2 linked regions of the Kluyveromyces lactis genome follow. The protein of the gene in region 1 interacts with the protein of each later gene in a pairwise test. Links are inferred from orthologs where the notes say so. Each region holds a gene or a part of one and is shown on either strand. Other genes may lie near its edges.

Region 1 (3,928 bases):
TTTAAATCGGTAATATCTTTCCAGACCCTCACAGCACCAAGGTAATTACCTAAATGGAACTTGCCAGTAGGTTGAATTAAACTGAATATTGTGGCATTCTTGGGCAGATCCGATTCCCTCAATTTGAATCCAGTCGTTTTAACCGAACTATTGAATCTCTTGAAAAGAATACGACTTTTATTTCTAACAAGTTGAGAACTTGCAAGCATGACAAGATATTTGCTGTAAACCTAAAAACTGCTTGTCTCAGTAATCACAATAGTAGCTACACAGCAGGAAAGTGGAGGTTACACATGTTCCATGTGTTATCTATGTATATATTCTGTGATCTAAGTTGTATTTGTGTGGTTTCGTTATATCTGAAAAAATGTCCGATACAGCTGACATGATGGTATTTACAGTGTTCTATCAAATGAGAAGAGTTTATGTACGAGTCAAAGGTCACGACAACTTATATACGTTTGAATTATCCCAACCACGAGCAGCTAGTATTCCTTTGATTGGGCCTTGTACCAAATCGTACTTTGGCCCTGAAACCGTGGAAATAAATCCACCTGGACCGCATACAAGAGAGAGAACTGGCCTCACTTTTGAGTCTAACGAGGTAAACGGCTCATTACCACCGTATGGATAAGGAGAAGGTATTCCTTCCATGGCAGGATCAGATTGCAAAGGAATCGAAATCCGGTTACTCTCATGTGTATGTAATTCGATTCTGTCGTTATCTTGAAGTTTTGTTAGAATACTATTCAACGGCCCTAATTCGGTAAGTGATTTACAACTATGATAAGCACCAATCTTACCTCTGAATGGTGACTCAGTTAAAGTCATTTGTAATAAAGGAACGATACCTGTGCCTCCAGTAAAGAACAATATATCGAATGGTTGGTACTTGTAATTGTCTTTGACACAATCTTCATTCCCCCATAAGAACGATCTATCTCTCGTGATCTCATCGGCAGTATCAGGGAATTCATATTCTACAAACGGTCCACGCAGCTCAAGTACATGTCCCAAAGGTAGATGGTTAATCCAACGAGCCACTTCTCCCTGTTTATACTGTTTAATGTAGAAAGTTAATGCGCCGCTGGCGTTTTCCTCATCTCGAAGTACTTCAACGGCTCCGTTTTCTTCGATTGTCAGAGGCAGAGGTGTGTAGCTTCTAACAACCATAATCTCTGGCTGTTTAACTTCGACTGACCAGAGTTTTGAAGAGTTCATTTCTTTCCAAAGATTAACCTTCTGTGCTTTCAAAGGTGTCAATTCGATCAAATAGTGATCCTGATCAATGGAATACTTCTTGCTGATTTTGTACTTCGAGAAGTAATCCCTTGATAACTCCCTTTGATATAAACTCTCCTTGTAGTAGTTCCATGATAGCGCACCGATTGCAACAGAGCCAGACAGTAGCAGAACTGTTTTCAATAGCGAAGAAGACTTACCAGCAGAAGGTTGAGGTAGAGTTGTTTTCGATGACGACGATAATCTTTTGATGCTTCCAAGTAACAATTTCATCTTATAAGATTCTGATGTCGTGTATTCACAGGTTAGAATCGCCTTTTGGCGTATCAAAGGAGAGTATCAATTATTGAAGAACCACACTAATGACTTTCCAGGTCAATTATGCCAGTGTTATCATTCATATGTATCGATTCTTTATGCATGAGTCTTCCTTGCAATATCTGAAAAGATTTGAAATATAAGAACTTATAATAATTAAGACAAAGAGATCCAAACTTATGATAGTAGCCATATGCATAACACACTTGGTGTTTTATTGATAATCCAAAGAACAAGGATACCTGCAATTAGTATAAGTGCCGTATTAGAACTGAACGATGGCTGGGTTGAAGTTATTGAAGTCGCTTGCATTGCATGATGATAAGTGCTGGAGCGTCGACGTTAATAATGGTGGAATTATGGCAACTGGAAGTACCGACAGAAAGATTAAACTAGTTGATATACGTTCTTTTCAAATTATCGAGGAATTGGATGATACTGCACATAAGAAGACTGTTAGAAGTGTTGCGTGGAGGCCTCATTCTAATATCTTGGCTGCTGGTTCGTTTGATTCCACTGTATCGATTTGGGGCAAGGACGATGATGGATACAACGATGAGAATGATCTGGAAACGGAGTTATTAGCCATTATAGAGGGTCATGAGAATGAAATTAAATGTGTGGCATGGTCTCATGATGGTGAATTATTAGCTACTTGTTCGAGGGATAAGAGCGTTTGGATTTGGGAAGCTGATGAAATGGGCGAAGAGTTCGAATGTATCAGTGTTCTACAAGAACATTCACAAGATGTAAAGCACGTAATATGGCATCAATCGCTTCCCTTATTGGCATCCAGTTCCTATGATGACACGGTGCGTATTTGGAAGGATTGTGATGATGATTGGGAATGTTGTGCTGTACTTAACGGGCATGAAGGGACTGTGTGGTCTTCAGATTTCGAGAAATCTAATTCCAACGTCAGGCTATGCAGTGGTAGCGATGATGGGACCGTCAGAATATGGTGTCTCGAAGATGATAACGGAGAATACGAGCAAGAATGGATCCAAGAATCAATTCTACCGAAGGCTCATACAAGGGCAGTCTACAGTGTTAACTGGAGTCCTAAGGGGTATATTGCTAGTACCGGTTCTGACGGACGTCTAGTTATATACAAGGAATCGGAAGATGGCTGGATAGTTGAGTGCATTCACGAATTAACACACGGAGTTTATGAAACAAATATGGTGAAATGGGTAGAGTATGGCTCTAAAGATGTCATCTTATTGATAACTGCTGGTGACGACGGTCATGTTAACGTATGGAAATTCGATGAGAATTAGCTTCTTTGCCGGACTTTATCAATATCTGATTTGTAACCTAGTATAACCTGCATAAAAATTACATAAAATGGAGGCATCCATGACGCCTCATGAATACCATTCATTCAACTGAAAACAGCCAGTATTGTGAGAAGAAGGAAAAACAATAGTATGAAAAGGAAATGTAGTTTTAGCTTACTTGAACTGCGTCCGGATCTCATAGCGCGAGATAACTCATTTGCTGCATTTCTGGTATTATCTTCTACATTGTACAAATTAGCTTCAATGCTATCTACTAGCTGCCCTTGCTGTTGCACTAAACCACCTAAGTCCTTGAATATGCCATTTAATTCCGTTATACCTTGTTCTATGTTTGATATCTCTTGGTCTCGTTCCCTGATCAGATGTTGCTGGTATGCAAATTCCTCATTATTTATTGGTTCTCGCTCTATAACCACCTGTGTTCTTTTTGCGTGTTCATCTTCTTCCTCTCTTAAAACAGTATCCATCAAGGAATTATTTTGTTCTTCATCTTCCAAAGCCACTTTGGCCATGTCATTTATCCGCTTTGTAACTTCAAGAAAATGTTGTTGATATTTCTTGAATTCCTGTACAGAGAATTTCGCATCCCTAGTCAACTTCTCCCTTGTGATCAAATGAGGCTTATCCAAAGCCGACTCCTCTAACTCATTAACTTTATGAATATTCTCGTTTATCGATGATACTAATTTTGTACTTTTGTCTATTAGTTCAACCGTCTTCTTATTGATATTGTCGATAACTTTAGTGTTAGATTTACCGTGGGATACATTCGTTTCCAAAGCCGTTACAAAGTGGTTCATAGTTGAAAGGCTCCCGTTCAATTCAAATAAATCTTGAGATATAGCATCGCAGCAATCTTCGAACTCAGGACTATCCCTATATTGAAGAATTTCATTGGGTGAATCTGACATATTTCTATACTGTTCAAATGCAGGTTCACTTGAATTCACCTAAGCGGTAGCAGCAAAATGCGTATCAGATTCCTTCATTTCTGGACTAAGCTTGTAGAAGACTAACCTTTTATCTTCATTGTTCTAATTTTGTAATTGATGCAAGCCTTAAAAAAA
Region 2 (4,928 bases), on another chromosome or scaffold:
TACGCTTCGAGTCATCTAAACCAATTTGAAGTTTTGATATAATTTCATTCTTCATGGGGATCAAGTAGTTAAGGGGAACACTGGTTGTTAAAGTCTGAAGAATTTCTAATGACAGAAATCTTACGTTCACGTTACTATATTTCGATGGGACCAATAAGTTAAGTAACAGCGGAACTAACGAATGGACATGTTCAGTAACCAACTGAGACATTTGATTCACAGTATTTTTTAGTGTCTCTAGAGATGATATTCTGACTTCGATATTCTCTAGTTCAAGAGCCTGAAGAAGAAGAGGTAACAAGTCCGTGATATACGATATGGTGATATTTGATGGAGTATTCTTTAAAACTAAAGAAACTGCGGTAAGATAATTCGATTTAATGGTCATATTATCAGAAGATTTGAAGGCGTTTACCATTTTTTGTGCAATGTGATTGAAAAACTTCTGCTTGTAAATTAATCGAATATTGTTATTCCATGACACCTTTTTAAATCTTTGAAAAATTAGAAGGTCAAGAACTAAAACTTCAAAGAGGTGAGCAACCTTATTGCCAAACTTCTCGTCACTTAAAAGAGAAAATAGATGATCCGTCAATTTTGTTGCAAGAACTGAATTTTTCATGACCAAACCTTTGTTAATCCAGCATATTATTTCAAGATTCTTAATAGATGTGTCAGTTAGGTCCAGCACGCTTTCTATGTAAGATTCTGTAACCCATTTATTTGATAATAGCGCCAAGAACTCCAAGTAATTTAGAGATTCGAAAGTTGGGAGAGCTTCATTATTCTTAATGAGTTCAATGGCTTTTGAAAATATATCATTCGCGGCTTCAAAAGATGTATTCTTATCCAAAGCTGCCAAAAGCCTGGAGTAAATCACAATAGATCTTTGAGCAGAATCAAAAATTCTTTCTTCATCCAAGAAACATTTATTATAGGTAATAAGTTCACTTTGATGGGTTGAGACATCAGATTTTATGTTAAGCTGAAATAAAACTCCAGCCGCAAGGCTCAAGGAGTGGTCATCAAGGTATATCATATCATTTTTCAAAGAGTTTTGTAAAAATGTCTCTTCCATCGATTCCTTCAAGAATTGCACAACGTTCTGGTCGAATTCATCAATGTTATTCTGCAAAAGGGAAAAAAGACATGACAAAATCAAAAAACAATAATCGCTGCAATTTGGATGCATTACAATGAGGTTTAATTTCGAAGCAAGACCAACAATACTTTCTTTGACCAAATGGTGCCTTGAAGTAGTGAAATCGAGAATGACCTTCAAAACTCGCTCTATTGGGACTATATCAGTGTTATTCAATGTGATTGGAACCATGTTTTCATTATCAGGAAGTAGATGTAACATGTACTTCAAAGAGACTTCATAAATAATGGATTCATTGAACACACTGATAAACTTGAGACCCTCCAAGCATGCGCAGTATATATTCTTATTCTCGTCAGTCAAAATTGTTTCGGTGAAATATTGGACAATCATCGCTATTTCCTCGCTATCCAAAAAACCTGACATTTTAACTAGTGTGGTGAATTGTATGATAGCAAGCGTCCTCAGGGTAACTTCATTTTTGGATGTACCAGTTAATGCCTTGCTGAAAACCATTAATATGCTGTCTTTGTGATTTTGTAATTCATTCTTAGCATGGAATTTGGAAATCTCTTTACCGGTCTCGCCAAAGAGTGAAATATAAGCGCTAAAAAATGGCGCCAAATTGAGAATCAAGAGTTTCTGTTTAGAAGCATCTAAGTCTTTATCCATGAAAAGCACTGGAATCACTTTTTTCATGACTTTATTAAATGTTTGCAAGCTCACTTTAGAAATTGAAGCGAGCAGGTCACAACACTGTTTTAAATCCTTATCTTGTTCAAAATTTGGAACAAACTCATCAAATATATGATTAAAAAATTTATCAAATGCATGTTCATCTAGTGCGATGAGTTTCGAAGATAATGAAGTTATAATAGAGAGCGAATCCGAGTAGTTACTAATATTTCCTTCTGGTCTCGAGTTTTGGTTTTCTGTATCCATTGCAGTATCGAGGATTGAAGGTTCCGGGTCTGTGCCATTTAAAATTTCAAACTTTAGGGCATCCCAAATTGGCAGCCAGTGTTTCAAAGATGATGTTCCACTGAATGTATCCACACATGCTTTGAGGGTCAGTATAGTATCATTTTTAACAGTTGGTGACGATGCTGCCAATTTATCTAAGAGGTTCCCAAAAGCATCCTCCTCAAACTTTTCCGTGGCAGTGATGGCACTTCTCAAGGCTAGTTTCAAATCATTATTGGTAATTTTGTATGGATCATTACTTGGGGGTTTGAACATGATTGGGAAGTAGCAGAATAATATATCAAATAATTCCTCCTTGAAACTGTCAATGTTGCGTAAACCGGTGCTAATATCAGAATTCAAACGGAAAGATATGAGAAGATTTCTAGGATCTTTCTCACCAGTTGCAACAAGAATAAAAGTTTCGATATATAAGTCATTCAATTTGAGATTGCCCAACATCTGGGATTTGAATTTGATAAGTATATTATCCATAATCCTGAATCCGAAATATCTAGTCGCAGCCAAAAAGTTAGTAGGTTGATAGTCATTTCCTAAAAGTTTTAACAGCTTTTCGACGTGACTAACGTAAAAACAGTCCATTAGTACTAATGAGTTGATCCCTTGTAGTGTTTCTTTCATGCAGCCTGAATCTTCCATCTTACTTTGGTAGAAATCGAATATCACTGAAACATCATTCTTCTTTAGTACCGCTGGTGAAATGTGTTCCAATATACAAGATAAACAGCTCAATGCATTTTGTCTGGTGCTATCGTCATCAGAGGTTAAGTACTCTCGTAAAAATATTACAATTCGTAACAATTCAATGCTCTTTCGAGTTACCTCATCAGCGATCGTATTGGCCAATTTGTCTGCCACAGAAGTATTAACCTTTGCATTAGCCATAAAACTGACAATGTCTGCTTTCAATTTATCTTCTGTATAGTCTGTCGCCATTATGGTACGATATAAATATTTTACAGTGATAGGGCGGTCTTCAATGACAAGTTTATCGAATGCTAAAGCACTAAATAACTCGTTGAGTTCTTACTCGTTCTTGTTGACTAAGGTTGGGTTTTATTCCACATTACGATTTTGATATGTGCAATGCTTCCGATTAGGCTTAATTATTTGATTACCCGGAACACTCCGTATCATGTGACCAGATCAAGAATAACAATTCAGTGAAGTTAACAGTAGGAGATGACGATGAAATGATCTGCATAAGGGAGTGGAAGAAAGAATTGCTGTCTACGCGGTAAGAGATCGTTATTCATAATTGATCGTGTTCCCAAGGTTTATGGAATACGAGAATTTGGGTTGAATTGTGCTTTTATCAAAAGGCCTATTGTCACGAAAATTCGCTTTCCAATTGTTTTAAATCATAATAAGAAAGGTCCAATACTGCCAGATATCCACAACTTACAATTGGACATGAACTCTGGGTTTATGTTTCCTCCAGTGGGGAAAGAAAACAGGGCACATGGTACCTTACTTTCTGATGATATGGGTAATGATTTTAAGTTTCCAAGTGAGAATGTGAACCAAGTAGAGGTTGAAAAGCAACAACAGTATCCTTCCACCCAGATTGACCAGGGGGCTGTGCAACATAGCAATACAGATTATCCTCAACAGACACTGAATATCATAGACATTCCACCGGTAGATCCTAATGGTGTGACCCCAGAACAATTCCATATCAATGCATTGCAATTGAACAAGCCGGGAGATAACCTGTCGAACAAAATTACAAACAATATAAATTACAGCATCAACGAGGTATCTCAGCAACCAAGACCTGATCCTGCATCTGCTAATAGTACATCCTCATTCCCCGATGAATACGTTGCCGGATTAAGACAGAAATCGGCAACTGACTGGAAAAGTCCGTCTGAATACGCATTACACATTCTTTTCACAAAGTTCGTAAGATTTGCCGAGATGAAGCTTAATATATGTTTACAATATCCGAGAGAGACGGAACCTCCAATTATAGAAATTTTAGGAGAAGGCAAGGATATAGAATTTGACAAAATTATAGAATCGTTGGGTTTCATTTCCAAGAAAAATGCGAAACCGGTAATAGATGCAATGATGTTTTGGAGGAAGACAAAGTCTGAAGTAGCTGCTTTAGCAGCGGAAAAACTGGATAAAATCATGCAAGAATATGAGCAGTATGTGAAGAATAATGAGCAAGTTCTGGCAGCTAGTCGAACTCACTCAAAATCATCTAGCTCAGCTAGCAGCAGGTTGACACATAGAAGAAATACCTCATCAAAGTCCTCTACAAGCCTGAATTCTCATTCAGATCCCAAATTTGCATCATTAGAGAACCAGGTAGAGAGAACAAAAGAAATGGCTTTCCAGGCCGATAGAAAATCTCTTATTACCATTTATATTTTGTGTCGTGTTTTGATCGAGATTGTCAAGCAGAATCCTATGGACTTTGATGATGAGTTAAGTACGAAGCTTGAAGGTATCGTTTTCACACAATTGAAGACTACCGATCCATCATCACTGTCTTCAACGCTAATTAAATCAGCAAATTGGAACTCGTTCGCGGAATTATTAGGCTGGATGAGTGAAAAAAAGTTTATCTCTGTCAGTGATAAATTTATAGCAGATCTCGAAAAAATCCCTCCCAAAGTTCCCCGTGATCAAGAGCCCTCTGTGCACCTTTTAATCCTAGGAATGCGTTATTTGAGGCTTAAAAACTATCCTCTAGAAATGTTTGAGGAAAGTGCAGGGTTCATCAAATCTATTTCGAAGTTCTTTGCTCCGTCCCAAAACACTTCTATTCGTTTGGCTTATGCTGAAGTACTAAGTCAACTTTTATTGCCGTTGGCTGGAGCAATGACAGCAG

Evidence for each region.
Region 2: the proteins of CIA1 (region 1) and MET18 interact in binary tests that used the Saccharomyces cerevisiae proteins (3 or more experiments, as listed by UniProt). The link is inferred for Kluyveromyces lactis from reciprocal best matches to the Saccharomyces cerevisiae genes CIA1 and MET18.

The regions. Positions count from the first base shown.
Region 1 is NC_006041.1:1,943,777-1,947,704, reverse strand, and holds CIA1 (iron-sulfur cluster assembly protein CIA1), read left to right. Parts: upstream 1-1,838; coding exon 1,839-2,840; downstream 2,841-3,928. Other genes in the region: tryptophan--tRNA ligase MSW1, read right to left, coding at 1-209; CYC2 (oxidoreductase), read right to left, coding at 442-1,515; SNAP receptor PEP12, read right to left, coding at 2,945-3,772. UniProt on the Saccharomyces cerevisiae protein: Essential component of the cytosolic iron-sulfur (Fe/S) protein assembly machinery. Required for the maturation of extramitochondrial Fe/S proteins.
Region 2 is NC_006042.1:441,174-446,101, forward strand, and holds the start of MET18 (Met18p), read right to left. Parts: upstream 3,023-4,928; coding exon 1-3,022. Other genes in the region: TAO3 (Tao3p), read left to right, coding at 3,500-4,928. UniProt on the Saccharomyces cerevisiae protein: Key component of the cytosolic iron-sulfur protein assembly (CIA) machinery that mediates the incorporation of iron-sulfur cluster into apoproteins specifically involved in DNA metabolism and genomic integrity.